4 linked regions of the Arabidopsis thaliana genome follow. The main gene of each other region encodes a partner of the protein of the gene in region 4 in a complex. Each region holds a gene or a part of one and is shown on either strand. Other genes may lie near its edges. The genes, in order: THO2, THO1, TEX1 and THO5.

Region 1 (7,761 bases), 8.4 Mb from region 4:
ATAATTAGGTTTAGGTTTTCATATTTTTAGTTGATTTTGGTAGGTACCCGTTTTGTTACTGGAACCTCAGTGGTAACTATCAAGTACAAAGATTAGATTTTAATGGCTTCTGATATGGGAGGTATAATGCTCTCTACCTAGTTTCAGCTCTCTAGTTATCTTGTATATGATTGATACTCTTTGTTACTTTCTTGGTAGATAAAGCATGCATGCTTCATTGTTCAAAAGAGTGCTTGCTAATTTGCTATATAGATAAAAGATCCAGATTCTGGATGTGTAAAATTTATATGATGTTGTAATTCACTTGTAGAACAAGTGTATCTTTTAATAATCAGAAAATATTGTGTGGTCGTCAGATACACAACGACGTCTCTTTATGATTCTACGTCAGAAATTAACTGAAAGCATTGCAGTGATTTAATGATCAAAGTCAATGTTTTAGATCACGTGATTTGGTCGAAGATCATAAAAATCAAAAACCAAAGGAACGAAACTTGATTACTGTCTATTTCTGTTGTCGTTTGTGTCAACTAATACTTGTACTCGTTGCTCTATTTGTTTATTATATCTGTTACTGTTAGAAGGACCAAAAGATGTAATTAAAATTTTTAATTCGATATTTGCCTAATTGCCTTGTTGGTAATATCGTGGTGGAGTCAAAGATCATCTGAGCCCATGGACTAGTTCAATAACAACCATTTCATAGTTTAACGCCCACTCAAACAAAATCATACGACTAAACCGGACATGGTTTTGTATTGAAATTGTATACAACATAATTTCTTCTATTTTATGCTGAAACAAAAGTCGACAGAAAAACAAAATCGGTCTGTAGTAGAAAAAGGAAAGAAAAAGACTTTTTTTTTTTTGTCTATTTATCACCCAACAAATGATGTTATCAACTCCGTGGTGATCTCAAAAAAGCATCCTGTTATTTCAACTGGGAATGTTGGTGGACCTAATTCATGCTTGCTCAAGCCTTGCAAACTGTTCCAAGATCCACGCGAAAATGAACAAGAACATGATGATCGAGGAGTTCGGAGCTAGGGAAGAACAGTTGTCTTAAAGAGGACGTTTCTTGTTTCCTAATTCTCTATCTTATGGAAGCATCCTAATTATGATTTGTCTTTGTGTTGTGTGTTAATTGGTGTCTTTTCTAAATTGTTCTTTGTTTGTTTTAATTTTCTTTCTATATTCCTAGGAATGGATTTGTTTCGGGTGACACTGTTGGGCTAAAACAGACACGGTTTTGTCTCTTGCACTTAACATAATTATACTGTTTGATTTCTAATCAGATTTAATACAAAAAAATTAAAAAAGACGACACACTGTCTGTTTGTCTGGATCGGAAAAGTAGTTTGTATTCGTTTTCCATATAATGGATACATATTTGATTTGCTATAAATTATAACCCTAGGTTATGAAGATTTTTTTTTTTTTTTAGGTTACGAAGAATGTTGACGTAAATTGTAAAGACAACAAAAATAGTATTTTCATCAACATTACTTAGTTTTATTCCATGCATGATGGAACTTTGGTTGAGGATTTCTATTTCTCACAAGGTAAATTCCATCATTTCTAGCAATCTAACGACGTAGAGCATCACATCGATCAATGTTGGCTGCTCTATATGCTACAAAATCTTTATAATATCGCATGTATAAGCCGTGTTTCAAAAGACAAGTCCATCTTGTCCTTCTTCCAAACATGTCTCCGAAACGGATTTGTTTTAGTTCCTTGAATTGTAAATTTGCGACGTCTAAATTGTCGTCTTTTGAATGACGATGATACTAGAGAACCAAACCGGGACCAAGATCATTCATAATTTCAATTGTGTTACGTTTACAAGACAAAACTGATACAAGCAATCCAAAATACGTCGCAACAACTAACATAAAAATTATAAAACGATTCATTTTTCGGGTAATATGAAACTCCAATTTGAATTTAATGACACCAAAGTACAGTATCTATAGTTATTTCGTGTGGTTAGTATTTGACGATTTTCCTATGGCCTTAATAAATTAGTTAAACTGAAACACAAACATGTAGTTAATAATAGATAATGTCGGAAAGTCTGGTTGACTAATAAAAAAAAACAAATGAATTCAACATTACAAATTATAAGTGATCCAAAAAACCTAACAAAAACCAAAATGTTTAATATATAACAAAAATTCTTCTAAGCATATTCTTTAATTCTAGACGAGGCAATTTGGAAGCACTGATTTGAACATAACAAAATAACAGCAGCCCTCGCGCCAATACAGGCACATTAAGTTTAACTATAAATGACTTTTAGCGGATTAGATTTTAACATAATGAGTTTATAAACAGGCCAGACCTAAAACAAATAGCTTTCGAATAACGTTGGTCAAACCGACCCGTTTTCTTTTGTTGTTGTTTCTTGAGCAAAGGAGGACGAGGAGGAGAAGAAGGAGAAGATGACTGTAAGTTGGATCAACTTTTCAATTGCTTATGGATCTTTTCTGACTTTCTTTGATCGTTTTTTTGTCCCGAGTAGTTAACGATTCTGGTTGAAAACGGGAATGGAGCGAAGAACGCTGAGAAATTTTTTAGGTTTTGGTTTCCATATTTTAGTTAATTTGGTATGTTACTAGCTAGTACTTGTACTCGTTGCTTTCTATTTGTTTATATCTGTTAGGACCAAAAGATGTAATTAACATTTTTAATTCGATATTTGCCTAATTGCCTTGTTAGTAGTATCGTGGTGGACTCAAAGATCATCTGAGCCCATGGGCTTGTTCAATAACAACCAATTCATAGTTTCACGCCCATTCAAAACAAAATCATACGACTTAACCGGACCCGGTTTTGTATTGAAATTGTATACAACATAATTTGCTGAAACAAAAGACGACAGAAAAACAAAATCGGTAAGTAGTAGAAAAAGGAAAAGAATAGTCCCCTCTTCTGCAAAATCAAAAACATATTTGCATCATCTTCACACCGTCATCATCATCGTCTTCAATTTACTTCCACCAAATCAAATAATCTCTCAAAAACCCTAATTTCTCTTTTTCTTCTCTGATCAAAATTGTTCGTTCCTCTCCCTTTTCATCTTATCGGAATGCTTATTTTCTGGTCGCCAATCGAAGTCTAAACCCTATTTTCTTAATCTTCTAGGGTTTCGAAAAGGGAGGAGAGTGAAAGATATACATACATACACACGAAAGGGGTTTAAGATGTCTCTTCCGCTACTGGAGTGTAAGTACGTGACGGAGGAGTTTGTTCGTGAAGGTAAGAATGGCAACTATGGAACCAAGCTGCCCAGCTCTGTGCCGATGCTTCGTTTCCTCTACGAGCTCTCTTGGATTTTGGTATACACACAAACACCACCTTCTCTTCCTACTACTATCCAATCACGCGTATATGTTGTTCGAGTTCCTCAACGGTGCCTCGTGATGGATTATTAGGTTCGTGGCGAATTGCCAATTCAGAGCTGTAAGGCAGTGTTGGAAGGTGTGGAGTTTTTGGATAAGCCATCGAGAGAAGAATTAGCTTCGTGTTTTGCGGATGTTGTGACTCAGATAGCTCAAGACGTAAGTCCAATTACAGTTTTGACATCCTTAGCTCAGAGATGATTGTGCAAGGTTATTGATACTGATCGTTGGATTGATTGGGTTCGTGTTCTCTTTGCTTTGTTTTGCAGCTTACCATGTCGGGAGATCAACGTTCTCGTCTAATCAAATTGGTGAGTGCTAGAATTTATTTTACGTTTTGAAAATTGATCATTGTTTGGATTTGTTAGTCTTGAGGAAAGATAATTCTAGCTCTTTAGATATTAGTGATCACAAAAAGTAACATCCTATGAATAGATTAGGCATGTGGTGTATAGCTATCAGTAGTGTCCTAAGGTTCAACCAACCGATGGCTCATCCTGGGCAGGTTGCAAGAAAGTTCCTGATTGTAAAAGGCTACTTCATCCTAAGGAGCTGAAACTTTGACCATAGTGCCTTAGATGATCTATTAGCGTAGTTTGGTATTGAATTTTCCTTGTATGCTTGATCCAATGTTCTCTGATGAGCTGCTTACAGAGGAGTTGTTAGCATATGTCTTATTTTATTGAATTTGATGATTGCGTACTTTAGTTTCTTCCTTAAAATATTCTTTCTGTTCTCATTTACCATCTCCTCAAGGTTTCTATGCTCACAGCTAATGAACCAATTGTTCTTTTTTGGTAGGCGAAATGGCTTGTGGAATCACAGACAGTCCCTCAAAGGCTTTTCCAAGAGCGTTGCGAGGTAAACATTATGTTACGTTCAGCCAATGAAACAGAGTAATACGTAGAGAATCTTTATATTAATAGAACTTAAAACAAGAAAATACAGCTTTGAGAGGTTTCTTAATAGAGTCCCCTCTTATCCCCCCTTCCACCTTTCACTAGTTCTCGATAACTCCCTCACTGGTACCCCTCATCTATATAGCATGTGCATCATGCAATCCTACTGCCCATCATAGAAACCGTAGCTTGAACAAGTCTGGAGTGATAGATAGAGACTGCTAAATAATAGTTATTGTAGCTGCTAAGGTAGTTATAGAAGTTAACTTCAAGGCTGTAGCCTGTTTCGAATGTCACATTAATCCCTTAAGACTGAAGAATTGTCCTCAAAGATCCAGTGGACCAGCTGGTCTCACGGAATAGCCCTCTTCTTCTTGCTGTAGATGTAAAGGATAGGAGCGGGCAAGTCCTAAAATGTTTGTTATTATTCCCAATTTGAGTAGTTTGTACCCCACCCACTTAACCTCTCTATTTTCTTGATCAGTAAGAAGAAAATTTTCTGAAGGCGTTTTATTTATTTTATTTTAGGAGGAGTTTCTCTGGGAAGCTGATATGGTTAAAATAAAGGCCCAAGATTTGAAGGGGAAAGAGGTGAGGACTTCACACTTCTGTAACTGCTGTATTAATATGACTTCACACTTTAGTCATCAATGCAGCTGCACTGTGCTCTGATTTACGTAATAGTTACTCTGAGTGAATTGCTATTGCGAAAGATTAATGCTTATAAGAATTTCTACTTTACCTGTGTAACTACTGCTCATTGTTTATAAGTAACAATTCTGGTTGATGCTTCTCAGGTGCGATTAAACACTCGTCTTCTGTACCAGCAGACAAAGTTCAACTTACTCCGTGAAGAAAGCGAGGGATATGCCAAATTGGTTCGTTATAGAAGATCTCTAGCAGTCTAGTTTTTTTTTTTTTTTTTTTTTTTATCTATTGTCATTCTTTCTGTCCACTTCGTTTCTATTGTCTTTTCTTAGATACTCTTTACTTCTGTTTTTTCTGAAACACAACTTTAAGGAATACCCCTTTAGTTTTTGGAAGGGATGATCTTTTCAACAATGCTGATTTGGCCTTTCCTTTTCACACGGTTCCAGTTGGAAGGCATATCTTCTGCTAGTTTTATTACCTATAACTGTGCAGAGTAATGAACATATTATCTCAGTAGAGATTCGATTAAGTCAGATTATACATACACCAACTTATAGCAGTTCCTTTTTGTGGAGTGCAGGCCACTCTTTTGTGCCGAGGATCTGCAAGTTCTTCGCACAATGCATCAGCAGCAACGATGGGAATTATCAAGGTTTTGATTCGGCCAATACATTATATTTCGCCCATTTACTTTTTCTGAACTTTATATTTTCTTGCAGTCATTAATTGGGCATTTTGACCTGGATCCAAACCGTGTTTTCGACATTGTAAGTTTTCACTGTTGCTTCTGTCATATTTTTGTTTGATATTGCATAACGCATCAATCTGTCCTTCCCGATTAGTAATAATGTACCCTTTGTTTTTGATGAATAGGTTTTAGATTGCTTTGAACTCGAACAAGATTACGACACATTTCTCAATCTAATTCCTATCTTTCCCAAGGTTTGGAATGTCTTCCTCGTATTTTTATCTTCTAATGCTTAGCTCAAGAGACTATTTTTTGCTAAAAAAAATAATTTTCATGTGCAGTCTCATGCTTCACAAATTCTTGGATTTAAATTCCAATACTATCAGAGACTAGAGGTGAATAGCCCTGTTCCAGTTGGGCTCTATAAGCTTACAGCCTTGCTAGTAAAGGAAGAGTTTATCAATCTTGAAAGCATGTGAGTAGTTTTTTCTTCAACTGTTTTTTCCGCCCTTTCCTTTCTTGCTTTCAAGGTCTTTGGAGCCTCTCGGGAATATTCAAAATCGAGCATTATGTGTAGCCTTAAGAAAGTATACTGGTTTTATCTTTTGTCGTAGACTGAAGTCTCCTTACTAATTGGATACTTGTAGGTAGTCTTCTTCATGACGATTTCTTTTCTTTTCATTATGTGAGAATAAGGTTATACTTGCACACTGGTTTTTATCCTTTTTTGCAGACTGAAGTCTTCTTTCTAATTGGATTCTTGTACATGTCTTCTTCATAACGAGTTTTTTTTTTCATTGAGAATAGGACTAGATCAGTTGGAATGTAAATGAAAGATTCTCTTCTCTTCTGCACCTGTCTCTTGTTTCTAGTTGTTTGGTATCAATTTTAAGTTTGTTTCTTACTGTACTCTGAAAGTTACTTTTTTACTTTGAGATTGCTCTTAAGGAGGACTAGCTAGTAGACTTAATTTATTTTCTCGTGAGCAACTCACTCAATTCATTAACTTATTTCATCAGTGTACTGATTCGGTGATTACTAGATTGCTACATTTCTTTGTGCCTCTAACAAGTGAAATCATACTGAATGTATGGACCCAATATTCTTATACTTTTTTGCCTGGCTGTTGTGAACAGATATGCACATCTGCTACCTAAGGACGAGGAAGTTTTTGAGGATTATAATGTTTCTTCTGCAAAGCGGTTTGAAGAGGTACAGTTCAATATATGACCTCGTCCTTATGCTTAGAGATGTTTTAAGATAGTTTTGTTCTGGCCTACCGTAAGTTGTCTATATGTTTCTTATGTGTTAAAACCTTTTTTTCCCTTGAGACAAACGAACAAACATGGTTTCTCTGCTCTTGTGGTAATCTGCTAATCTTGCCTTCATAAATTTAATAAATACTTAGATACTAAGCACTTCTCCATCTTCCTGGAAGCCAGCCAATTATTTTTTGTTTTTTGTTTTTTACTTTCATAGATTTATTCATGAGTTATTATTTTTACAAGTCCTTCCTTTTATACAGGCCAATAAAATTGGAAAGATTAATCTCGCTGCTACTGGGAAGGATCTTATGGAAGATGAGAAGCAAGGAGATGTCACAGTAGATCTCTTTGCTGCTTTAGACATGGAAAGTGAAGCTGTTACTGAGCGATTACCAGAGCTTGAAAATAATCAGACTCTGGGCCTACTTAATGGTTTCCTCTCTGTGGACGATTGGTATGAACACCGAATCATATCTTTTTACTTAACAAATCCACTGTCGTCAAACCAGTCCATTTGGTTAACAGGTTTCTTGAACCAGTGCATGTTAAATTTTAAGTTTTATTATTCTTCATGAGCATGAGATTTCTTCGTGGAGTACTCTATATATGATTGTTATTTTTTTGATAATTGCATCACCTTCTGTAACTTGAAAATTGAACTTGAGGGCATATTGGATGACTGTTACTGGTGTCTTCTGCCGAATTCACATCTCAGGATCCATACTATCCTAGAAAATTTGTTTACATACAAAGCTATTTTGTATATTTAACTTATATTAAAAGCTTGCTAATTAATCTTCCCCTTTCTGCTCAACTGAGGTGAAAGCTCTTTTTCTTATTATTTTTATATTAAC
Region 2 (9,655 bases), on a different chromosome or scaffold from region 4:
AAATCAAGATCCAAGTGAAAAAAACTTTTAAGCAAACCAGATCAGGATCTTCAAGTTTCTCCTTGATTTCAACAATACTCTTCTGCTCATCATCAAACAAACCAGCAAAGGGATCGAAATCGTCATCGTCTTCAACATTAACAGATTTCTCTCTAACTTCTTCTTCTGCTGCTGCTGTTACTCCTTCTTCATCTTCCTCCTCCGTCTCCTCGTGAACCCTCCCATTATTAACCCTACCAATCGCCGCCTCCGTAACGTTACCACCGCCGCCAAAATCGCAGTTTCTACACTTGTTAGCCATCGACGTAGCGTAGAGACGCTCGACGATGTTATCTCTCCGACGTTTCAGTTCTTGACCATAGTCAAGAGACGCAACAAGAATCGCCGTATCGATAAATGTCCAAACATCAACACCTGCGTTATCCATAACCGATCGGAAATCATCCAAATCCATTATCACCCACACTCCTCCTTCTTCCCCAAATTTGGTTACTTAATAAAGAATTCAAAACGAAAAACAAAAAACAGAGCAAATCGAATTACGTAACCAGATCTAAAAGATGAATCTTTTGATGAATTTGATTCATCGGAGATTAAAAATCGTGAAGAACCAAACAAAGTTTAGATTTCAAATAGTTTAAAAGATAGACAAATAAAAAAAACAAAAAACAGAAGAATCAGATTGGTAAATTCAGATTAAAAAGGAAGACCCTTTACTGTTACGAGGAAGAAAGAAACAGAGGAGGTCGTCTCACATAAGATCAATAATGAGTAAATGGCAAATTAAAAAAAAAAAAGGGAATGAAGAAGAAAGGGAATATTCCAAATTTGAGGCTTTAGAATTTGGTTTGGAGGGTTATTGCTTTTTCTTTCATTCTTCTGCAAGTTTTTTTTTGTTTGGTCCGTTAATAAAAATAATATTCAGACAGAATCAATTAACAGTTTTAGGACAAAAGTAAAAGAAGAAAATGGGAATTGCTTTATTGAGGGATGATGCTCTTTGCCCTGGACAGAGCAAAGCTAAGCAAGTTGGTTTGTTGTGGTTGGGGAGATGAACAGCTCTAGAGAGAGAGAGAGAGAGATGTGAGTGTTTTTCTTTCAATAATGGCGTTTACTTTTTTTAGTTTTTCTTCAAGTGACGAGAAACATTTTACATGTTTCGACTTTTTTGGTTATTGGGCCTCTAAATTTTTGGCCCTATAGCAAGTGGACCCAATATGTCAAATCAATATTTTCATTTGGTCTCAAAGTGTTTGTTTCATGACTTTCATCTCATGAGCCACTGCCACTCACTAATCGTTTAGTGAATTTACGTCGACGGTACAATCAAAACCCCCAAAGAGAAGATCACATCCGAGTTTTTAGGTGTTGAAGGAGGTGTTCGATCCATCAAAGTTTACTTTGTTAGGAAGTAATGTTTATTTATCACTTGTTGAGTGTAGATTATGAATACAATGTCTTTTATGCAATTATTGGAACCTAATATTTATCTCGAACAATTTCGAGCAATTTTTGAAATCTTCAAATCCTTCTCATGTGAGCTATTATGATTTCTTCTGCAATAACATACCATGAACAATTTCGAGCAATTTTTGAATACAGATGTTTTAAATTTCTAATTGATTTGATTCCACACATTAAAACTACGCCATATCCAACATATACAGGCAAAGGTCTTCTGTAAAACTAAATAATGTGAAGCCCACCACCCAACGGATATCATTTTACTATGAAAGGCCCAATGAACATGTTGTTATTCAGTTTATAAATTAAAAATATTTCGGATCCAGATCCAAGCCCGGATATTTGCGGATAATTTGATTGTTGGGAGGATATCTTCCGGATCCGGATCCACCCTAAATTAAAATTGTTCTTCCTCCACTCTTCTTCAAGTTTGGCCTCCGTTTCCAGATTTTTATTCAATTCTTCTTAATCAACTTTTAAAATCCGGCGACTCATAGTCCGTGAATTTTGACCGGCATATCCGGTTTTGGTGTCGTCGGTAAATTCCTCTTCATTGCAGTGGAAGCTGGTTCATTGAGAAATAATGGTAACTCTTTTGGGATTATGAGACTTGTTTTCTTTTGCTTCTTGTTAAATCTATATAGCTTATAAAAACTTGTTTTCTGCAATTTGTGGTTCTTCGCAGGATGCATTTAGAGATGCTATATTGCAGCGAGCTCCAATTGAAACCTTTGCACTCAAGACTGTTCAACACTTTATACAACCTCAGGTAACTCTTTCGAATCAACTAACAATTTCTTCACTCCTTTAGTCTTACTTATTGTCTTTATTGTAAAATTTGACAGAAACAAACAAAGTTGGCTCAAGATGAAAACCAAATGCTTGAAAACATGCTCCGGACATTGCTGCAGGAGCTAGTGGTCTCTTCTTTCTCCACTATTATATTTTCGTGGTATGCGTATATACTTGTTCATTTATATATGTGTGGATTTCTCTTTCTGTTTTCGGGGTTTCAGGCTGCTGCTGCGCAATCAGGGGAGCAAATTATGCAGTATGGTCAGTTGATTGACGATGATGATGATGATGATGATATACATGGACAGATTCCTCATCTTCTAGGTTAGCAATCTCTCTAGTCTGATTTGCATAGTTCGTTCAAACAAGTGCTAGCGTTGTCCCCGTAAAACTTCTTATTCTCTTGTTGTCTATTGCTTATCATCTTGTCCTCACTACTTTTGTCTAACCTCTCACCATCTTCATGTTTTGATTGCTTTGTTAGATGTTGTGCTTTATCTTTGTGAGAAAGAGCATGTAGAAGGTGGCATGATATTCCAGCTGCTGGAGGATTTGACCGAAATGTCTACTATGAAAAACTGTAAAGATGTTTTCGGTTATATTGAAAGCAAACAAGATATATTGGGCAAGGTATTTCTTAAACGAAATCAAATTTTTTCTCGGTTAGTTGTATCTTGTATTTTGACTTGGATGTTGCAATTATTTGCAGCAAGAGCTTTTTGCACGCGGAAAACTTGTCATGTTGAGGACTTGCAACCAACTTCTCCGCCGACTCTCAAAGGTTCGCTATCTGCACCCTTTTCTAGTTCCCTTTGTCAAATATCCATAAGTCATAATCTACTTTTTCATATATAACACATCCACTCTTTTTTAATTCTTTTTTTTGCTTTCACTATTTGGCATACAGGCCAATGATGTTGTATTCTGTGGAAGGATTCTTATGTTTTTGGCTCACTTTTTTCCGTTATCTGAGCGCTCAGGTAAGAAGGGTTTCTCGTGCATATACGATTATTTGGTATGTGAATGTTTAAAAGGTGTGTAACGTTTACTTGCGTGACTTATTCTTTCAGCCGTCAATATAAAAGGTGTTTTTAATACATCTAATGAAACCAAATATGAAAAAGATCCTCCAAAAGGCAAGTGATTTTTTTTTTTCTTATGCTTTTGGTCCTTATCTCCATATGACAATTCTAAAACGTGTTACTTATTCTGTCTATGTCATTGCTTCTCAGGCATTTCTGTAGATTTCAACTTCTACAAGACATTTTGGAGTTTACAGGTGCGTATTAGTTAAAGGAACTTTGTAGGGAACGAATGTTATGCCTTTATCATAAGGGTTGTCTCATAGAACCTCTGTTTGCATATCATGCAAAATCAACATTACTGGAGATAGCATCTCAAATTTCCTTTTGTTAGTTAGTTTATTGAGATAGTTCTTTTCTTACTGAGAAAATTGTTTCGTTTCCAGGAGTATTTCTGTAATCCCGCTTCTCTTACTTCCGCATCTACCAAGTGGCAGAAATTTTCATCCAGTTTGGCGGTATGTGATCTTTGGTTTTTGACTAAATTGCATTACCTGGTCTTGTATATATGTATATGCATAGAAAATTCATGCTGGCGGTAGTGAGAAATCATCTTAGACCTTGTTTCTTGAACTGCTTATGTAGGTTGTTTTAAACACCTTTGATGCTCAACCACTAAGCGAAGAAGAGGGAGAGGCTAATAGTTTGGAGGAAGAGGCAGCAACTTTTAATATAAAGTACCTAACAAGTAGTAAATTGATGGGTTTAGAGGTAAGTATGCTGTGGTTGGACATGCGCACTTCTGAACTTAGCAGTTCACTCACTTTTTTTTCTACCTTTCGCCACAGTTAAAGGATTCGAGTTTCCGACGACATATTCTTCTCCAGTGCCTCATTATGTTTGATTATCTAAGGGTAAATGTCTCTCAAGAATTATTGCACGGAAATTACTCTCTCTGGTATTCTGGTATAACTGAATCCTGTTTCCGTTTAGGCACCAGGGAAGAACGACAAAGATCTGCCATCTGAAACCATGGTCAGTGTTTTTTCTTGTTTAATGAGAAAATTCCTCTTGCTTTCTTTCAAAGGTTCACAAACCTAGTTATATCTCAGTATTCAGGGTTTTATGCATAATTACTCAAAGGTATTGTTTATCTTTTCGGTCTAGAAGGAAGAACTTAAGTCATGTGAGGATCGTGTAAAGAAATTGCTTGAGATCACTCCGCCTAAAGGGAAAGAATTCCTCCGTGCAGTTGAGCATATACTGGAGCGCGAAAAGAATTGGGTATGTGTGCTGCTTTCTCTCTTACCTGCTGCATGATTTTCTGGCTTGTAGTTGAGGGCCGTTAATGATCTTCTACAATACACAAATAACAGGTCTGGTGGAAACGTGATGGATGTCCACCATTTGAAAAGCAACCGATAGATAAGAAATCACCTAATGCAGGGCAAAAGAAACGGTATGGGGAAAAGCTGACCTTGTAATCTAACTGCTTTGTACTCATAGATGGTGTCCGCCATTCGAATTTAGAATACATTACGTGGAAGAAATTGAGAAGATGTTTTTTCCCTAGTGATCTCTGGTCGCTAGTCCATTAAAGTGAGAAACAACTAATAAATCTGCATTACGAGTATTAGGCTCAATATGGGTTATCTTTTGCTTTTACAGGAGACAAAGATGGAGATTGGGAAATAAAGAACTCTCCCAACTTTGGAGATGGGCAGATCAAAATCCGGTATGCATTATTTTTCTTTGCATCCTTGTTCGTTGTTCATATTATGCCACATGCTTCTCCAGCTCTCCTCTCGGCTCAATCTTCATATTACGACTCTACAATAATTGTATATCTGATGGGATAACAGAATGCTTTGACTGATTCTCAACGCGTGCGAACCCCTGATATTGCAGACTACTGGAAACCATTAGCAGAAGATGTGAGCTAACATACTGTTTTCTTTATTTTTCCCAAAGGACATCTTAAAAAAAATGGTTGATGTCTTATTAGCACACCTGATGTTTTGTTAAAATCTCAGATGGATCCATCAGCTGGCATAGAAGATGAGTACCATCATAAAAACAACAGAGTATATAACTTTCCTCTGATTTACAACTTTTTTTTTTATGATGCTTAATTGAATCAGTCTAAGGCAGATAATTGTTACTGTTTTGATAGGTTTACTGCTGGAAAGGTCTTCGGTTTACAGCTCGGCAAGACCTTGAAGGATTTTCTAGGGTAAAATTTTCTTCGATTTCGATTTCCCAATGCTTCATATGATTGCTTTTTAAAACCTTTTTCTTTCTTTTTCACAGTTTACTGAAATGGGAATCGAAGGAGTTGTCCCAGTTGAACTATTGCCGCCTGAGGTCCGGTCCAAATACCAAGCTAAACCAAACGAAAAAGCCAAACGAGCGAAGAAAGAAGAAACCAAAGGTGGATCTCATGAAACAGAGGGAAACCAGATTGGTGTTTCTAATAGTGAAGCTGAAGCTGAAGGAGGAAGGGGTGATGCAGAGACGATGGAGAGTGATGCTATTGCAGACACTCCTACGCCTGAGGAACAGCAAAGACTCGGTGGTTCTGATACAGAAAACGGTCAAGAGGCCGGTCAAATCGAAGACGGAGAGACAGAAGAAGCTGGTCTGATGGACACTGATCTTGATCATCCTCCTATGCCCGTCTCATGAATACGCTTTCAGTTTGTCGACCCTTTCTTCAATGGGGAATCCTTTGGATATGAAGTTCAAAAGTATTGATGTTTAACAAATTATGTTAAAAGGTATTTTCTAAATATGTTTGTATGAGTGCAAATCTGCTAGCTTATTACCTGTCTTTCCATTTCTATATACTCAACAAAATCATCATACAATTAAGTTCTTTTGCGTAATTTATCGTCTAAGTGTAACACTAGACACATATTCGCAGCTAATAAACATTGGATTCAATTGCAATCCACTAAAAATACACTCAAACAAACAAAAAAATCAAATACTTGAGGAACCAAAAGCTAAAAGTGTTACTATTATAGCTATCAACATAAACTTTATGTTTTGCCATCAATATTTATTTAGAATATAAATGAGTGGTTTTTAAGTCGTGTCACGATTTTTAAAGTCCATAAACACCACCGATCTCCATATAATAATAAGGTTTCATCATATGCCAAATCCAATAATACGTGAAACTATACCAGTTCATTGTAGGCTTATTTGGTTATATTATTACTACCTCCAATCATTGAAAATGTATATACTTTGTTTAGTCGTTATCACTTGTCAATGCATATCAAATCACCTTATAAATTTACCCAAATTCACTATTGAATTGTTGATGCACTGTCACATAAGATCACAGTTGTCTTATAGTCGTCGCACTGTTATGACAAAAAAAGTGTCGACTCATATTGAAACAAAAAAAAGACTAAACAATGTTGGCACAGCGATGCGATAAAGAATCGACCAAGAGACAACCGAGTGATTTGTGTTGTCAACGACAAATGAAAAGTTGCCTATTTTTGTTACTTATCGTTTGAATACAAAACCGTAGATCGATCTAAACATAATCCGAATATACTAATTTTTTGTTTAAACATGATTTATTAACAAAGTCATTTAATTATTGTAATACAAAAGGTTTTTGCCAAAACAACAACATGCTACTTTTTCATCATTTTCCCGGAAGAAACTAAAGATACATGTGGCACCGACACTTTTCTAATTTTCTATCAGATCATGTGGCCCAAAGGATTTGGAAACAAACAGTACCTAGAATGCATTCTAATCATAGATATTTATTTTTATAAACCTACTACGTCTTTAGGCATATATTAGCTTAACACTAAAAATTACATATGTTTTTTTATATATAAAGAAGACGAACTCACAACTTTATTAGTACTTTATTGAAATTTAAGAGCAGGTTAAAAACATTGAAAACATCATATATTGTGATTTTAGTGTTACGCAAATATTGTCTAAAAAATACGTTAGTTTTTCTTGACTTAACTTATAGTGTACATATATAGGTATATAGATTGTCGGCAAATGTATACATATGGATGTATGGCATATAAATAAATATGATGTGATATGATAGTCTCAATAATTTGCACATTGTTTTCCACTTGTACATAATATTTTGTGGTCAACAGTACATTAAATTTGTATATGCAAAACAGGAGAAAAGACAAATGGGAAAAATAATGGTGTGGGTGGAGCCTAATTTAATTGTATCTACGCAAGAGCTAGTGAATAGAATTAGAGAATTTAAGTCTGTATCAAGGCAAATGAAAGAAATAAAGAAAGTTATTCCTTGAACATTTCTAATTTTATATTTCAGGTTAATATAAAGTACATTGATAAAACACAGTTAAAAGTCAAAACCAATGTGCTCAACATCCTCTAAGCATTATATATATAGCTTTTATTTTTGTGAATCTATTTTTATTGTGATTAGTATAGTCATCACTCAGGAGACAGAAGAACAAAATAGAGGGAAATAATAAATGTAAAGGGTGATCCAATGTTTACCAAATCTATATAAAATTTTCGTCCTTTTCCGATAAAAAGACTCAGTGAGTCAAAATTATTCATTTAATTTTTCTTACGTCAATTTAAAGTCAATTTATACATTTTAATTTTTGTGTCTACTTTATAAGTACTCAGTATTTTTTTTTTTTGTATAAAGAATTTAACGAAATTACCAACTGTTAAGACAAAATAGGAGTGGAGGACAGAGAGCGCCAAGCGACACACTTTTACTGGGTCCCACATTTTAAATTCATTTATTATCTTTTATTTATTTTCTAAATCTCTTTTTATTTTTTTGTTGGTAGTTTGTGTGGTTTTCTTTCTCTACTTTGGTTTGGTAGTTGATTACTTGAGGAGGTACTTCAATATCTTCCGTCTGTGTCTCTCTCTCTTCGTCTTCTTCATTACGCGTCTTCTTCTTTCTCCTCTTCTTCTACATTAGCCCCTCTCTCTTTAATTAGCTGCAGCTCACCTTTCACTATCTCTTCTTTTATATTGATTGTGAACTTGTGTGTGTGCGTACATTTGGAGTTTCAGAGAAAAACAGTTGGATTCACTCCAATACCTAACCTTTCACCCATCTTCCTCATTACTTCTTCAGAAGAAACTGAGAAATCTTCTCTGCAAAGCTTGTAATTGCATGTTTTGATGGGAGTTGTAACGACTGGATCTCTCTCGACCAACCTGTTGGGTTGACTTGACCCGGTTGCAGACCTCGGAAGCTAGAGATTGCGTGTGTGTGTCTGAATTTGACATACTGTCTACTGTTTTGTCGGTACTATGAATACTGGTGGTCGGCTCATCGCTGGTTCTCACAATAGGAATGAGTTCGTGTTGATTAATGCAGACGAGAGTGCCAGAGTAAGAATTTATATCAAAATTGAAGCTTTTTTCACTTCTTTCTCTCTGTTTTGATTTGCACACATTGTTAAATTTTCGTTGCTCTGTGTAAAGGTTTTGCCTTTTTCTTATTCTGGATCTGGGTTTTACATTTCATCGTTAATTTATCAATTAGGGTACACGATTCCATAATTCTTACCTACTTTTATCATCATGTACAGTGAAAGTTTGTGTCGGTGGGGATTGAATTCTGAGTTTTAGTGTGTAAAAAATCCCCAAATCTAATACTTTGCTTTAAAAGAAACAAATTTTGAGTTAATTGCTAGTGAATCTTGTGTTCTAATTGAGATCCAATCTATGTGTGTTTCTCATAATTCTCTGCTTATGCTGATTTCAATATACAGATTAGATCAGTGGAAGAACTAAGTGGACAAACATGTCAAATCTGTGGAGATGAGATTGAGCTAAGTGTTGATGGAGAGTCTTTTGTGGCATGTAATGAATGTGCTTTCCCTGTCTGTAGACCTTGCTATGAGTATGAGAGACGAGAAGGAAACCAATCTTGTCCTCAGTGCAAAACTCGTTACAAGCGCATCAAAGGTCACACTTACTTGTTTCAACAAGTTTTAACCTTTGTCTGATCTTATGTATCTGACAAAGGTTTCTTATTGTTTTCAGGAAGTCCAAGGGTTGAAGGAGATGAGGAGGATGATGGAATTGATGATCTTGATTTTGAGTTTGATTATAGTAGGAGTGGCCTTGAATCTGAAACTTTCTCTCGCCGCAACTCGGAGTTTGATTTGGCCTCTGCTCCACCTGGCTCACAGATTCCTTTGTTAACTTATGGAGAGGAGGTTGGTTCATATTTTCCCCAATCACTTCTACTGTTTTATTGTCCCTTTTTTATTGCTCATTTTGGTTGTTTTTCTAGGACGTTGAAATTTCTTCTGATAGTCATGCTCTCATTGTTTCTCCATCACCTGGCCATATCCATAGGGTTCATCAAC
Region 3 (7,557 bases), on a different chromosome or scaffold from region 4:
ATACATAGACTGACAAACACATTTCATAAATCATATATACAACATTTCTACCCCAAGGACAAGAGACAGTACCGTGTCGTCAAGAGTGGTATGGCCTTTTTGTGTCGACTTTTGGATCGGTTTCATATTGCTTTATGATCACAGCCAAACTGTTCGATGGTTTTTACCCTTCTCTTGTTTTGGCTCTCTTCATACCAAGGCTATTGTAAGGAGAAACAGAACCGGACATTGGAGATCCTTCTTCACGAAGAGTTCCATTGAGCAATGCTAGCTCGCGCAGCTGTTGTTTCTTGTACATATCATGGGTTTCCTCCTATAAAACAGAAACCGAGTGTGAAAACTTTGTAACAATAACTGGTTTAAAATCAAAGGGAGGGGGAGAGCTAAAAACAAACCATAGGAGTAAGAAGATCGTCAAGTATTTCCCGAGCTTGCATGAGCCGTGCATCGACTATTTCAATCGGTAATTCTGCTTCCACTAAGATATGAAGTGGTTCATTTAGGTGCTCGTATCCCGGTTTTCCTCTCATCATTTCCTCCTACAAGAAGAAATATATTAACACCTTGTACAAACATTGAAATGTAGATACAAATGAAGTTGTAAAGTTTAATAATAAATACCTTAATTGGATCTTTTATACTTCCTCTTCCTCTTATAAGAACACGGCAATCAGTACTTGCTTCAACTCGCTTCAGGGAGTTTCCTCTAGGACCCAGGAGGCGACCAACAAAATTGAACTGCCATATAGAAAATTAAGGAGTTACATTCCAACCAGGAAGTAGTATATCTCAGTGTAGAAATGAAAGTTCATACATTCGGATAATTGTCGACTGGAATATCGACCCTGATTGTACGCTTGGCGATGAGACCGGACGAACTACCAGGTGAGTTAAGCCAATTTGGTCCCGGAGATGATGGAACAGATCTCTGCAAATGATCAACCAACAAAATTAGAAGCAAGATCAACCTTTAAGCATAAGCACATGAATACTGCAACTTCTTGCCCTGGAACTTCATTCAATGAGAGTGGTCACTGTATCAAGGCATTTCAACCTGTAGCTGTTATATCCTAATAATATGCATACAGTGACCACAGATATATGAGAAAATTATAGCATTAATTTCAATCCTACTCGTGAGGATAGTGGAGTATCTAATTAGTGTTGATCTAAGGTATGAACATACAAACATTACGGATATGAAGTGTTAGCCTACCTGTCATGATAAACTAGGACTAAAAGCAGTCAAATATGTTATGTCAGTATTATAACTTAAGTCAATAAAACTTCTATTGCAGTAGTATGAATTAGAGAGTTATGTTAATGGTTAGTAGTCATACTTCTGATGGAAACTGGGAGGCCCATCCATTCATGTCAGCTCTTGCATTCTGAAATATCCCTCCAGAAGCCAGAGGGCTAGGGTGGTCAAGCCCACTCTGACTTAAAACTGTAGCATTCTCCAACAGTGTGGTTACACGCAAAATTTCTGTTCCAAAAATGTCAATTTGCAAGAGTAAGACGCACCAGTTAGAATTAGTCAACAAATCAGTCACCAAGACACCAATGAATGGAGAGACAGCATAGTTAATTGAGTTAGCTTAAAATATATTTTTGCTCTCACTCTAGTTAAATACACTCTGGTTAAATAGAATGAAGTCAGTATAAGAAATATAGAATTAGTCATTTCGTGATCTACTTCTAATAGCTAACAATTAGGTCTCTCTTAGCAGTACTGTTTAAGAGTTTATCAACTGTATTATAGCTTCATGAATCTGAAGCAAAGAATGAAGTATTATGTGAGATGAAAATACAAATAATAAACAACAAAAACAGTAATGCTCACCTTGGTTTAGTAGCCGAAATGCATGTGGAAGCACAGGCAGGAATGGAGTAAGCTTATGACGCTCTGCAAGTAACTCTGAAAGATACCTGCCAAAACAGAAATTGTGCAGAGTATCCAAATTAGTAAAAAAGCCTCAAAGACACATCAAACTTACAAACAGATACACTCAAATTCACTCTAAATCGATACAACCAGATTCAAATTTCCATTCTTTTGTGAAGTGGATCTAGTCAATCTTCCAAAAATCGTATTTTTTTTAACAGTTTCATCAGCCAAGAACAGAAATCAACAATAACAGAAACGAACACAACCAATGAAATGATCCTCACACACTAAAGACTTATGCTTTACAAAAAATGAACTGGATTGAGACAAATCTGAAATAGACTGAGCTAGTTCCGAAACATAGATCCTAATATAATCAAAAGAAAACAAAAAAGACAAAAATCCAGATTCGAGATACACTATTAAGATCTAAAAATCAAAATCAGCAAAGCAAAGATCAACATACTTCATCAGATACATCAGCTAATTATAAAAGATCACCAAACAATAAAAAACAAAAATATAAAAGAAGATGAAAAACTAAGATTCGATTACTTCTCTTGCTCAACGAAGACAGAAGACTGTGATCGGAGACCACCGGAGTAATTAGGAGACTGAGGAGCAGAAGGAGGCACCGAAAGAGACGACGAATACGTCATAAACCTCCCTCCGCCGCCACCACCAATACCACCACCACTTCCTCCTCCTCCACCACCACCACCACCAAGCGACGACATCATCATCATCTCGAAGACAACAGAATCAGAGTAAATCTGTCGGAGATTAGAAGAAGAAGAAGAAGCGGCGGAGGCAGAACCAAAGCTGTTGTTGTCTCTCTATAACGTCGGTGGATTTAAGAGGTCATTTTATAGAGACTGTGAAATGATTACTTGTTGTTTGCTTAGCTGTTTTTTTTTTCACCTTTTTTCTTTGTTTCATATTTTACCCAATTTTACCGCTCTTCTTGTTAGTTTCTCTCTGAAGACTCTTAACCATCTAGAAGGTTTTTTACATCCGGTTTACTAAAATTCGATTCGGTTTATCTATACCGGAATGACTAAACGCTGCGTTTCAGGAAGCGAAGCTCTGATATTCAGTAGGCCGCGAAGGAAGGTTGAAGAAGAAGAGTTGAGAATTAAAAAATGGAGGAGACGACGATTCCTTTCAAGAGCTTACATAGCAGAGAATATCAAGGTCATAAGAAGAAGGTTTTTTTTTTCTATCTCCAGTCTAATTTTCTGTACTCAATAAAACTTGCGAAACCCTAGTTTTTTGCTGAATCTGGGGGAATTTTTGGATTGAAGGTACATTCAGTAGCTTGGAATTCGAATGGAACAAAGCTTGCTTCGGGTTCTGTTGATCAAACGGCTCGCATTTGGAATATCGAACCACACGGTCATGTAATTTCTTTACCTTTTTGAGCTATGGGAACTTCTATGTGTTTTTGATGATGATGAATACATATGGAGAAGTATTGTAGATTGAGTTAAAACTCGATTATTATCTTTGTCATTGTTACTTTTTGAGTTATGTAGTTTTTGTAATTTGGTTGTTTGTGTGGTGTGTGGATACAGAGCAAGGCTAAGGACCTTGAGCTAAAGGGTCATACTGATAGTGTGGATCAGCTATGTTGGGATCCCAAACATTCAGATCTTGTTGCTACTGCCTCTGGTGATAAAAGCGTTCGTCTTTGGGATGCTCGCAGTAAGTTATATTCTTTTAATCGTTTAGTTTTGCTCCTGAAATATGCCTGGAGCTTGGTTTAGAAATCTGTATATTTTCTAATGGATTAGCTATGTGTCATTCACAAATATTTCTCGCAATCTTGGCCTTTGCTTTTGAGTCATATCGCGGAGACTATTGATTGATGAGGATCGGATCTAAGTTTCTTAGAATTATAAATTAGTTATTTAGCCAGATTCCATAAGAGAGGAATTTGATCAGGTTTTTGATATGTGGCTACTATTGTATGTTTTACTATCAATTGCTGAGATATGTCTTCTTCGAGTTCTACAGGTGGAAAATGCACACAGCAGGTAGAACTTAGTGGAGAGAATATAAACATCACCTACAAACCTGACGGGACACATGTAGCTGTTGGTAATAGGGTATTGTCTCGAGCCCCATATCTTTACACTTTCATTGTTCTTACTGTCTATGGATTACTTGATAGATCCCTTTTCATAGTCGTTGTCCTTTCTCTTACTGGCCAATGTAGGATGATGAGCTTACAATTCTGGATGTCCGTAAGTTTAAACCTCTACACAGGCGCAAATTCAATTATGAGGTAACGTAAGCTCAGACTCATGTTAATCTTTATTAATGGCTTTTTTTTTATAAGGCTCTTCCGTATCTCCTGTTTCAAGCTCATGCGGTTATATGTCACCTAAGTTCCTTGTTCATGTAATAATCGTCAAGTAATTTTCTGGTGCCGTATGGAATGTTCTCTTATCTTTTGTCTTCTTGTAACAGGTTAATGAGATTGCTTGGAACATGCCTGGAGATTTTTTCTTCTTGACTACTGGACTTGGTGAGGATTTTAAATTCTGTACTTTCCTGCACACGATTCCCTACCAAAGATTTCTTTGTTTTTGAACTTGAGAAAATGATCTTACTGAAAGTTACTTTGTATGTTGTCCTGCTCAGGCACTGTTGAAGTTCTTTCATATCCATCTCTTAAACCACTTGACACTCTCACAGCCCACACAGCCGGGTGTTATTGTATTGCAATTGATCCTAAAGGGAGGTAATATATATTTACATTTGTGGGCTGGCCTCTGAGACACGAATGATAATCTTTTTGCTTTTGCATCTAATTCTTCCTCTTTACCTTAACAGATATTTTGCTGTCGGGAGTGCGGATTCCTTAGTAAGCCTTTGGGATATCTCAGACATGCTTTGTTTGAGAACATTTACCAAACTTGAGTGAGTATCAACATGAATTTTCCATAGAGTAGAAAAAGGTTTAATTTCTGTTACATGTTAGTAATTTATAACTATTTCTCACAGGTGGCCAGTCAGAACAATAAGCTTCAACTATTCGGGAGAGTATATTGCTTCAGCCAGTGAAGATTTATTCATTGATATTGTAAGTGATTGCCCAGACTTAAACACTGCTAATTTCAATGTAGTTTCCTCAATATGAGATTAGTTCCTCGTATCTGACCACTAACTACCAAACAGGCTAATGTCCAAACCGGGCGGACGGTGCATCAGATTCCATGTCGGGCAGCCATGAACAGTGTTGAGTGGAATCCCAAATACAATTTACTTGCATATGCAGGTGATGACAAGAATCCCAAGTATAATACTGATGAAGGTACTACCGCGTATTAGTACTTCATTGTTAGCAACAACTCAAAACTCTAATATTGGTAGCAGAAAATGAACAATGACAACAACTTGGATCTCTTTGCAGGTGTTTTCCGGATATTTGGTTTTGAGAGCTCGTAGGAACAGAGCACTGAATCGGGAAACATGATACACAACTCCACTTGATTGTTCCTTGTTGAGTTAGAAAAAGTTTATGTGCCTAGTGTACCTAAATATGTATTGTCAGTATATCAAGTTGGAATAATCTTACAGTATCACTAAATACATTGAAAGTTTGCAGTTCTGAATCTGGCATTTTATTTATTGCAAAAATTTGTTACTATACAAGCAATGTTGTTTATTATTAACGAAGAATGAAATTAATAAGATCAAGATCAGAATTCTAATCCCGAATTACATCAATTTTCTACTATGTGTGAGTACTGCTAAAAGTTACAGGTTGTTCTTATTCCCTCCGGCGAATCTTCAGTCTGGGAGATTTGACAGCTACTCTCTCAAAGCTAGAACAGAGGCCAATGGTAAGATCGGACCAAAAGCATCATCCCCACAATGAAGGTTGAAGAAAGAATGCAGAGTCCTGAGAAAGAAAACACATTTATTACTGAGAGTCCAATTTTGGATTAAAGAACAAGAAGAGCACACGATTTGCTTACCGAACAAACAGTGAATAGGAAGAGTTTGTCAAAATCCGCAGAGGATGAACTTTGAGACCGGGAAGAACAACCCTGCAGAGCAAAGAAGAACAATAGTTATCAAATACTGAGAGAACCAAGTAACAGGTTTCCACTTGATCTCAACGCTTGAACTCTTCATCCTCTTCCCACTCATCGGCTCTTTCGACAAATCAAAGCTCGACCCTTTCATCCTCAACTCCAAAACACACCGTGTAAGCGTTCTATTATCATTCCTCTCCCTATTAACACCTCTGTAAACTTTCCAGAACACAAACAGCTTAGCTTGAACAAGAAACACCAGAACCAATGAAGTAGCTAATGACACTGCAGAAGGTATCCACCATTTCTTGCAAACCGCATTACTTTTCACCACGTCAGCATCATCAGAACAAGAAGAAGAGTAGACAAGTGTGAAGAAGAACCCATGGAAGACTAGGAAGAAACAACAAAGCTGAAAGATCTCTCTTTTGATTGACTCTAGTCTTGATTCTTTAAGAAGAACACGACGACAGAACAAATCTTCTTCTCTTTGCCATAACTTCAAAAGCAACAAATGTCCTGGACTCTCTGAGATTTCAGACAACGGATGCTGCTGAATCACTTTGAGTATTCCCATTCCCGGATTTGAGACCGCAACCAACTGTTGTTGTTGTTGTCTCTCTTTATGCTCTTCATCTACTGGAATCTCCACTACATGAGAATCTTTAGTTCCGGCCATAGAGAAAAAAAAGATTGAGACTTTATGAAGAAACAGAGATCGGAATAGGAAAGCAATTAGAGAGTAAGATGAAGATTGAAGATTTGAGTTCGTTGTGTTTTTTTAGTAAGAATTCCTTTTCTTTCACAAAATTTCAGGTATTTAAATTGTTGTTCTTTAACGGCTATATGTACAACGGTCGGATTGTTTTCTTTTTACGTTATGTTGTTACTGCTGCGATAACATAGTAAGAGACCTTTTCTCACTTTAACGGCTATATTTTCTCCTCCAAAACGCATATAGCCAATATTTGGGCCTTTAATGGGCCGAATGATATGCAATGTGCTTTATAGTTTAACTAGGCCCTATGATTCCATTTTTTTTCTTTTCTTTTCTAAAGTATATGATTCCATTGTTTGCTTTTGTTCCACCACAATTTATAACAAGTGATATATTTATGAATTTTTCTATTACTAAAATAATAGAATAAAGTAACAAATAAGATTCTGTTTTTAATTACTTTCAAAACACATACGCAAGTTATTGGAAATGACATTTTTGGGATTTTGTAGACTTCAACGCAGAAGCCAACATCAAAGGTTTGTAATTTTGTATGTCTGTTATCTATTTATTATACTCAAGATGAAAATAATAAAAACTCTTTATTTACATTTCTTCATTTATTAAAATGCTTTACAAAGCAAAACTTATTAATCTCTGTAAAAACAGAAAGCACCTAATTAATCATACCCAATGTTTAACTACCAATGTGATCGAAAATGAAAATCCAAACAATGAAATCTTAAAGAAAAAGGAAAAAACTTAGAACCAAATAAAAATCAAACCATATGATTGATGAGATCATCAGCTTGTAAATCCCACAAGACATTATCCACATTAAACACATGTTGATGATGATGATGGTTCCTCATCATCGTCATTCCATCTCCTCTTCCTCCTTCAGA
Region 4 (6,907 bases):
ATAAGCTAGATGCTCCATCCCAAGTGGCGGCTCCCATTTTGACTCTTGTGTCTTAAAATTGTAAAAATAACTTCGTCCATAGAACGAATCCCAGTAGACCTTCCATACACTAGAGTCATGAGAATCTATTGTCTCTGATGCCAACACTGAGTCTCCATCTCCATTTCCCAAAAAACAGCTCCCCACAACAACTTCATGATTTTCTTCTTCCACTTCAATTACTTGTACACAATCTTCCTCAAAACACGGACTCTCAACCTCCTCATTCAAAGCAGACACCAAATTCAAAGTGTCTTCTACTTTGAGAATAACATTAACCTCTTCGTCTAATCGATCCTTGAATCCTTTCTTTTGATAGCCTCTAGTTCTGTTCTTCCACTACACAAGTTGTTGAATTCTCAGAGAATGTAATAAACTAACTAAAACCCATGAATGTTGATAAGAAAAGGTACCTGCTTGTTTGTTCGAAAGGAAACCGGAAGACCAAGATCATTCATCTCTTTCATCAATCCATTGTCTATAACAAAATTCAAATTCAACAACTTTCAAGTTCTTTAGCAGAAAAAAGTTAAAAAATCAAAACTTTGAAGATATAACCTAAAAAGTAAAGACGTACTGGCAATTCCATAAGTATCATCAACACTCTTGTTCTGCATTCAACAAAAAGAACCAAAATTGGAATCGAAATCACAGAAACATAATACAGAGTTATAAAGAACACACTTACACCACTGTGTTGATGGAAGAGAGGAGTATCTGTATCGACCCTGAGGAATTGAAACAGAGGAGAATCAGAAGTCAACAAAAGAGCTTAATCTTATTTTTTAAAAGTCAAAAAGGATTATTTATTACCATAGATGGATTTGAGTAAGCTTGAAGAGAGAACCCAGAGCTTCAATAGCTTCACCTTCTGCTTCTTCTACTTCGCCTCTGACCTTTCCCATTCTTTCAGGAGTATGAATCAAAACCCCCCATAGACCCCTCTTCTTATATGGGAATTTGGTATTTGAACCGACGCCGTTTTTAGTAGTTTTTGTCGTTTGGTATATAAACCGAGCCAAACCGAAATTTGTCTAGTTTGATTTGGATTGGTTAATTAGATATCGGCAAGAAGAAGCATAGATTTTGATAAACGGTCCGGTTCGGAACTACCAAACCGAAATTATCGAAATTTTATTTTAAAGTTGACCGAAATGTACCTAAACATACCAAATTTAACAGAAACTGAACCGAATTTGGTTTCCATTCCAAAATCAGCACTATAAAACTAAAATCAATCAAAATTAATTGGTTTGATTATGTTCGGTTTGGAACTATCAAACTAAAATTAACGAAAATTTATTTTAAAAACCATCAAAAATGTACCAAATTAAACCGAAATTGTTAAATTAATAACCGACTCGATTACAAATCGGCACTATTTATACCATAAACTGAACCAAATTTCGGTCTGATGAGGTGAAGTTGATTTCAAACCGAACATTGAAATATCAAAATTTCGAACCAAACCGGACCGGCTTAGTTCTAAGAAAACGGTAAAAATATCAAAAAAAAGCCTGAACTTTCAAATTTGGGATGAAAAAAGCATGAACTTTGTAAATGTCGTATTAATCATGAAGTTTTAGTTAATTTCTCAAAAAAAATAGCTAAGTTTCGTTGACCGAGCCGTTAAAGGCTTGCCGTTAAATTTTCGTTAACAGAGTTATCACTCCGTTAGAAATTTAAAACGACGTCGTTTTAAATTTTAAAATTAAACAGAAAAAATGAACCTTGCCAAGATTGGAACCGTTACCATGAGAAACTCATTACGAGATTATAAACCATTGACCCACAATTACATTTTGTCAAAGTGACAAACACTAATGTATATATATACTCAACTATTCGTCTTCTCATTCATCTCCTCTATCCCTAGAATCGGAGTTCTCTCCGTAAACAGGATTCCATCGGCGTTTTGGTTTCGTTCCATTAGACAGATATCGGAGTGAGCGATTTTTGTTTTATTGATCTTTGTTGTGGTTTGAGCATTAACCAGCTCTTAGGTATCAAAACTGTAATTTTGTTCATCTTCTCAAACCTTTTTAATAATTTGGTTTCAAAATTGAGGGAATTGAGAAAAAATACATATAGATCCATTAGATCACAATCTAAAGCTCATGTTCGACGAAGATAACACAGATCTGAATCGCAAATCTCACAATCAACATAAAAATTGAAATGCGATTGGGTTTTGTGAACTTGAGAAAAATACAAAGCTATGGCACGCAACAATAGAGTTTTGTTAGTTTCTGTTAATTATGTAATATTAAATATAAACTTTTGTTATTTGATACGAAGATGTTATTTTGTCTAAATGGTTTGGATGTTTGTAAAAGTATTCTCATGTCTCATGTTTGAGCTCAGGTGGTAGTCATTTTTTCTGTTTAATTTTAAATTTTAAAACGACGTCGTTTTGGGTTTCTAACGAAATGATAACTCTGTTATTATTCTGTTAACGGAAATTTAACGGCATGTCTTTAACGGGCCAGTCAACGAAAGTTAGCTTTTTTTCTGAGAAGTCAATCAAAACTTCATAATTAATATGACATTTTCAAAGTTCATGCCTTTTCTATCCAAATTTGAAAGCTCAGGCTTTTTTTTTTGTTGACATTTTTCCCCTTTTAAAACCCTCTCTCCGAGCTCGGCGAGATCAGAGGAAGTAAATTATGCAATCGGAGATGGCGATAGACACGGTGGCCACGGCGGAGAAATCACCACTAGAGCTACTTCAACAAACCAAAGCCTCCGTCGAAGCAATCATAGCAAAGATGCTCTCCATCAAGCAACAAGGAACCCCTAAATCCGAGAATCGAGAACTCCTCACTCAGATGTTTCTCAACTTCATCAATCTTCGTCAAGCGAATCGCTCGATTCTTATAGAAGAAGAGAAAGTGAGAACAGAAACGGAAATAGCAAAATCTCCGGTGGATTTCACGACGTTGGAGCTTCACAATCTCATGTATGAGAAGAGTCATTACCTCAAAGCTAATAAAGCTAGTAGAGATTTCAAATCTAGGTATCCAAACATCGATCTCATATCCGAACAAGACTTCTTCAGTGATGCTCCCGAAGCAATCAAATCTCAAACGTTATCAAATGATAGTTCTCATGATTTGATGCTTAAAAGACTCAATTTTGAGCTTCATCAGGTAAATTTCATTTCAAAGTTCATGTCTTTAAGGTCTTGTAGTAGCTTGATTCAATGTGATTCAATGTTAAGCTTTATACATCTCTGTCTCGAATCGTTAGACCAAGTTCATGTGTTAGATATTGTTGGAGTTTTTATTCAAAAGTGATTGAATGTTTAAGTTTGTTATACACAGAGGAAAGAGCTATGCAAGCTTAGAGTGAGGTTGGAGCAACAGAAGAAGAGTTTACTTGAAAGTAATGCGGAGAGGAACAAGTTTCTGTCAAGTCTTCCAGTGCATCTCAAATCTCTAAAGAAAGCATCTTTGCCAGTACAGAGCCAGTTGAGTTTGCAGAATCAGAAGAAGCTGAAGTATCATAATCTAGCTGAGCTTCTTCCTCCGCCGCTTTATGTTATATATTCGCAGTTCATGGCACTGAAGGAAGCTTTCGAAGAGAATATCGATGTTGAGGTATCTGGGAGTCTTAAGGATGCTCAAACTTATGCGCGGCAGCAAGCAGAACAGAACTCAGGTTAGCAATTCTCACACCTTTAGTTAAAATAAGAATTGAAAATGGAATAGTTATGTGCTCGTTAAAATGACATGTATGTTCAATAATACAGAGAGTCTAAGATTAGAGGTTGGTGTTGATGAAGAAAGGCAAAGGAAACGACTCAAGAAAGTGGGTTCTGATGAGGGAGGAGTATATCAAGTTCATCCTCTTAAAGTTGTCCTTCATGTTTATGATGACGAGATTACAGATCCGAAATCTCATGAACTTGTCATGCTCAAGTTTGAGTACTTGTTGAAGTTGAATGTTGTATGTGTTGGCATTGAAGAGTCTGAGGATGGACTTGAGAAAAATATACTATGTAACTTATTTCCAGACGATTCTGGACTTGAGCCTCCTCATCAGGTACATGTGGTTTTCCTTTTTGATATTCATTCACATATGTTTGCTTGAAAACAGTCATACTCACTTCCTTTACGGTTATACAGTCAGCCAAGCTCATTCTTGGCAACGATCATGTGTTTGATAAAAGCAGAACTTCGAGGCCATATAAGTGGGCACAACATTTGGCGGGGATTGAGACTTTACCTGAAATGTCACCATTTTTTACTGACAAGGATATTCAATATAGTGATACAGCTAAAGGCTATGCTTCTGCTTCTGATCACCGCAATGTGCAAACCGTTCTGCAAAGAATACGGTCCCAGAAAAAGACTAAGCTAACGCTTGTGTGAGTCACACCACTCAGTATGTTTTTTCCCATCTTTTGACAGTAGTAGAAGTTTTTCATATTTGTAAGTCAGTTAGTTCTTGGTATCTGAAACAAACATAATGATGAGGGAGGACTATATCAAATTCATCATCTCAAAGAGTTGTCCTTCATGTTTATGATGAAACAAACATAATGAGAAGAGTGACTTTGACATCTGCGTCTAGGTTAAGCTTTAGCAATATCTAAGCAAAGAGATTCTGATGATCCTGTATATATGTATAGAGAGAGAGGTTACAATTTGATAAAAGATGAGAACACAGTTCAACTAAACATTATAATTAGAATGATTTATCTATAGAAACCAAGTATGAGCATGATCTATATTTGACAGTATCTTCCACAGCTTTTATGTTGGCTTCCTTGAAGATTCATTATCTCCATCTCCTGTTGTATAAACCCACCAAAAAACGATGGAGTTAATAAGCTGTAAGCGTTGAAGTTGCGTACAATAAGATTGGTGAGAGCAGTTTTGGTGTCAAACAAAGTGCACTTTAGAGGGTAAGAGCGGATTTCTTGGTGTCAAACAAAGCTTAAATCATAGATCTATGAACTCATTACGAGCAGATCTTTACCCAAAGACATTCTAAATGGGGAGGATTCAATTCTCAGGTTGCAGGTAATTTCCACCAGTAGAAACTACGACAGGTTTAAGTCGCATAAGCCGTTTAAATAAAGTTTTGTATGGTAGAAAAATAGTGTAAGATGGAATAAGAGCTACCTGATTCTTCTGTAATTCCTACATATTGCCTGCAAAACACGAGAAGAGATACACTCTAAAACTAACAGAGATGAATGTAACATATGAGCAGATGTCTTTGTGGTCGGTCATTACCGGCTTCCTTAGTAACTTTTCCTCTCTTCTTTCTATCTTTGCAACTTCAGCTTCAAGCTCCACCATATAGCCTACAAAGCAAAACAAGAGTACTAAAAACATTACATGAACTTCTTTAACCACTGAGCCACCTCAGGTACATTCCAATGGTCGGCCATGAACATATCACATATAAATTAAATTCAGTTCACTAGGAAACTTACTACACTTTGAGCGACTAAACCAGGTCGACAAAAAAATTTCGGAGCTGGTTGAAACCCAAATAAAATGCATTAACCTAACAAGATATAAATGACAGTGCGAGAGAACCCCGAGTTTGATTCACGGAATGCCAACTTGGCCAGTTTACAAACGAAAATTGTTGGATACAAATAACATAGGCCCTGCTCAATGAAAGCAGATGGTATTTTGATAAATAACAGATGTGGCTCTGATCAGATTCCGGCAACTATAATACAATAACTAATCCTTATCTCCTGAACGCAAGCTAAAGAATTGGATCAAATACTTTTCACCGCTCTAGTCTCTCCTGAGATATCCATTTATCATCCTGGACAAGTACGTTTAAGGTACTGATGCTTTCAGAGGAAATAAAAACACAACTACCTTTGACAAGGAAATGGGAGGAACATATTCAAGGGTGCATTAAACGCATCTTCCACTTCCTCAGGAAAAGGTGTTTTTTGTCAGTAAGAATTCCTGTGACAGAAATTACACTAGAGAGATGCTGCATTAGAGAACCAAGGGCAGATAAGAAAGTAACACTCTCCAGAAAAGGATAGTTATGCTTATGCATCTCTCTGTCACTTGATAAAAGGAATAGATAGCTTGACATACAACAGAAAACCTTTGGCATAGAGCTTACAACAAGAGAAATGCAAGATGCATGATTTTACGGCATGAAGTTAACTCCTATCGAATTTCATTTATAGATATTGCATTAGATTCAGCAGGAAATCTGACTTACAAAAGCAACGAAGAATCACACTAAACTCATACAGTAGATTCAAACAGATCTCAATATTATGCTTGTAGTACTGCAGGTATAATGCTTCAATTGTATACAAAACAACAGGGCATTTGGTCTAGTGGTATGATTCTCGCTTTGGGTGCGAGAGGTCCCGAGTTCGATTCTCGGAATGCCCCACTGCATTTTTGAGTACATTGGTCTAAATTTCATCAGGATTGAATAATAGTAACATACAATCCACCTTTGCACTAAATGCTTAAATTCAGTCAACTAACAGAATTAGATCTACAGCGTTTCATTTCTACTTAACAAAATAACATTTAATAACAGATTTACGCAAATGTATGGTTCCAGCTTCATCAAGTATAAACCCCTAAACAAAAAGATTCACGACAGCATCATCTAGTGGTATAATTCCTGCTTTGGCTTCGAGAGGTTCCAATATCTATAATTGGAATGCCACATCTACTCTTCCAAACTATACGTTCTAATTTCTACCTGAAATTTTGCTTAGAGATCAATTTTCCTTAGTCCTTCAAAAACTGAGGAACATATATTTCACTTTTAGTCAGCAAGAGAAATCATTAACAAAAACTCCCCCAAACTTTCATTATTAAGTGCCTTCTGCATACTAGAAAAACATACCGAGGTTTTA

The links.
Region 1: THO5 (region 4) and THO2 share a complex: the UniProt entries of both Arabidopsis thaliana proteins name them as parts of the THO complex.
Region 2: THO5 (region 4) and THO1 share a complex: the UniProt entries of both Arabidopsis thaliana proteins name them as parts of the THO complex.
Region 3: THO5 (region 4) and TEX1 share a complex: the UniProt entries of both Arabidopsis thaliana proteins name them as parts of the THO complex.

Annotation. Positions count from the first base shown.
Region 1 is NC_003070.9:8,739,004-8,746,764, forward strand, and holds the start of THO2 (THO2), read left to right. Parts: upstream 1-2,936; 5' UTR 2,937-3,060; exon of another isoform or gene 3,061-3,147; 5' UTR 3,148-3,206; coding exon 3,207-3,341; exon of another isoform or gene 3,342-3,437; coding exon 3,438-3,563; intron 3,564-3,673; coding exon 3,674-3,715; intron 3,716-4,205; coding exon 4,206-4,265; intron 4,266-4,831; coding exon 4,832-4,894; intron 4,895-5,100; coding exon 5,101-5,181; intron 5,182-5,234; exon of another isoform or gene 5,235-5,447; intron 5,448-5,534; coding exon 5,535-5,606; intron 5,607-5,673; coding exon 5,674-5,721; intron 5,722-5,827; coding exon 5,828-5,896; intron 5,897-5,983; coding exon 5,984-6,117; intron 6,118-6,778; coding exon 6,779-6,854; intron 6,855-7,167; coding exon 7,168-7,361; intron 7,362-7,761. UniProt on the Arabidopsis thaliana protein: Acts as a component of the THO subcomplex of the TREX complex which is thought to couple mRNA transcription, processing and nuclear export.
Region 2 is NC_003076.8:3,064,768-3,074,422, forward strand, and holds THO1 (nuclear matrix protein-like protein), read left to right. Parts: upstream 1-1,810; 5' UTR 1,811-2,047; coding exon 2,048-2,050; intron 2,051-2,149; coding exon 2,150-2,233; intron 2,234-2,309; coding exon 2,310-2,384; intron 2,385-2,480; coding exon 2,481-2,583; intron 2,584-2,743; coding exon 2,744-2,889; intron 2,890-2,968; coding exon 2,969-3,040; intron 3,041-3,166; coding exon 3,167-3,239; intron 3,240-3,329; coding exon 3,330-3,395; intron 3,396-3,491; coding exon 3,492-3,538; intron 3,539-3,727; coding exon 3,728-3,799; intron 3,800-3,926; coding exon 3,927-4,052; intron 4,053-4,129; coding exon 4,130-4,195; intron 4,196-4,274; coding exon 4,275-4,316; intron 4,317-4,448; coding exon 4,449-4,565; intron 4,566-4,657; coding exon 4,658-4,740; intron 4,741-4,949; coding exon 4,950-5,016; intron 5,017-5,143; coding exon 5,144-5,215; intron 5,216-5,314; coding exon 5,315-5,365; intron 5,366-5,454; coding exon 5,455-5,514; intron 5,515-5,591; and 3 more. Other genes in the region: AT5G09850 (Transcription elongation factor (TFIIS) family protein), read right to left, coding at 38-454; CESA5 (cellulose synthase 5), read left to right, coding at 8,589-8,669, 9,053-9,248, 9,327-9,502, 9,580-9,655. UniProt on the Arabidopsis thaliana protein: Acts as a component of the THO subcomplex of the TREX complex which is thought to couple mRNA transcription, processing and nuclear export. Contributes to the integrity of the endogenous trans-acting small interfering RNA (ta-siRNA) pathway.
Region 3 is NC_003076.8:22,720,539-22,728,095, reverse strand, and holds TEX1 (Transducin/WD40 repeat-like superfamily protein), read left to right. Parts: upstream 1-2,996; 5' UTR 2,997-3,030; coding exon 3,031-3,096; intron 3,097-3,192; coding exon 3,193-3,288; intron 3,289-3,462; coding exon 3,463-3,592; intron 3,593-3,904; coding exon 3,905-3,996; intron 3,997-4,106; coding exon 4,107-4,175; intron 4,176-4,360; coding exon 4,361-4,418; intron 4,419-4,534; coding exon 4,535-4,634; intron 4,635-4,726; coding exon 4,727-4,813; intron 4,814-4,897; coding exon 4,898-4,976; intron 4,977-5,071; coding exon 5,072-5,207; intron 5,208-5,306; coding exon 5,307-5,341; 3' UTR 5,342-5,614; downstream 5,615-7,557. Other genes in the region: AT5G56140 (RNA-binding KH domain-containing protein), read right to left, coding at 164-313, 396-539, 622-738, 815-928, 1,341-1,486, 1,844-1,929, 2,444-2,634; AT5G56120 (RNA polymerase II elongation factor), read right to left, coding at 5,903-6,613; MYB80 (myb domain protein 103), read right to left, coding at 7,432-7,557. UniProt on the Arabidopsis thaliana protein: Acts as a component of the THO subcomplex of the TREX complex which is thought to couple mRNA transcription, processing and nuclear export. Contributes to the integrity of the endogenous trans-acting small interfering RNA (ta-siRNA) pathway.
Region 4 is NC_003070.9:17,150,251-17,157,157, forward strand, and holds THO5 (THO complex, subunit 5), read left to right. Parts: upstream 1-2,645; 5' UTR 2,646-2,705; coding exon 2,706-3,188; intron 3,189-3,362; coding exon 3,363-3,699; intron 3,700-3,790; coding exon 3,791-4,083; intron 4,084-4,166; coding exon 4,167-4,412; 3' UTR 4,413-4,593; downstream 4,594-6,907. Other genes in the region: AT1G45231 (S-adenosyl-L-methionine-dependent methyltransferases superfamily protein), read right to left, coding at 1-378, 453-517, 617-650, 728-767, 853-944; AT1G45229 (uncharacterized protein), read right to left, coding at 5,187-5,353. UniProt on the Arabidopsis thaliana protein: Acts as a component of the THO subcomplex of the TREX complex which is thought to couple mRNA transcription, processing and nuclear export.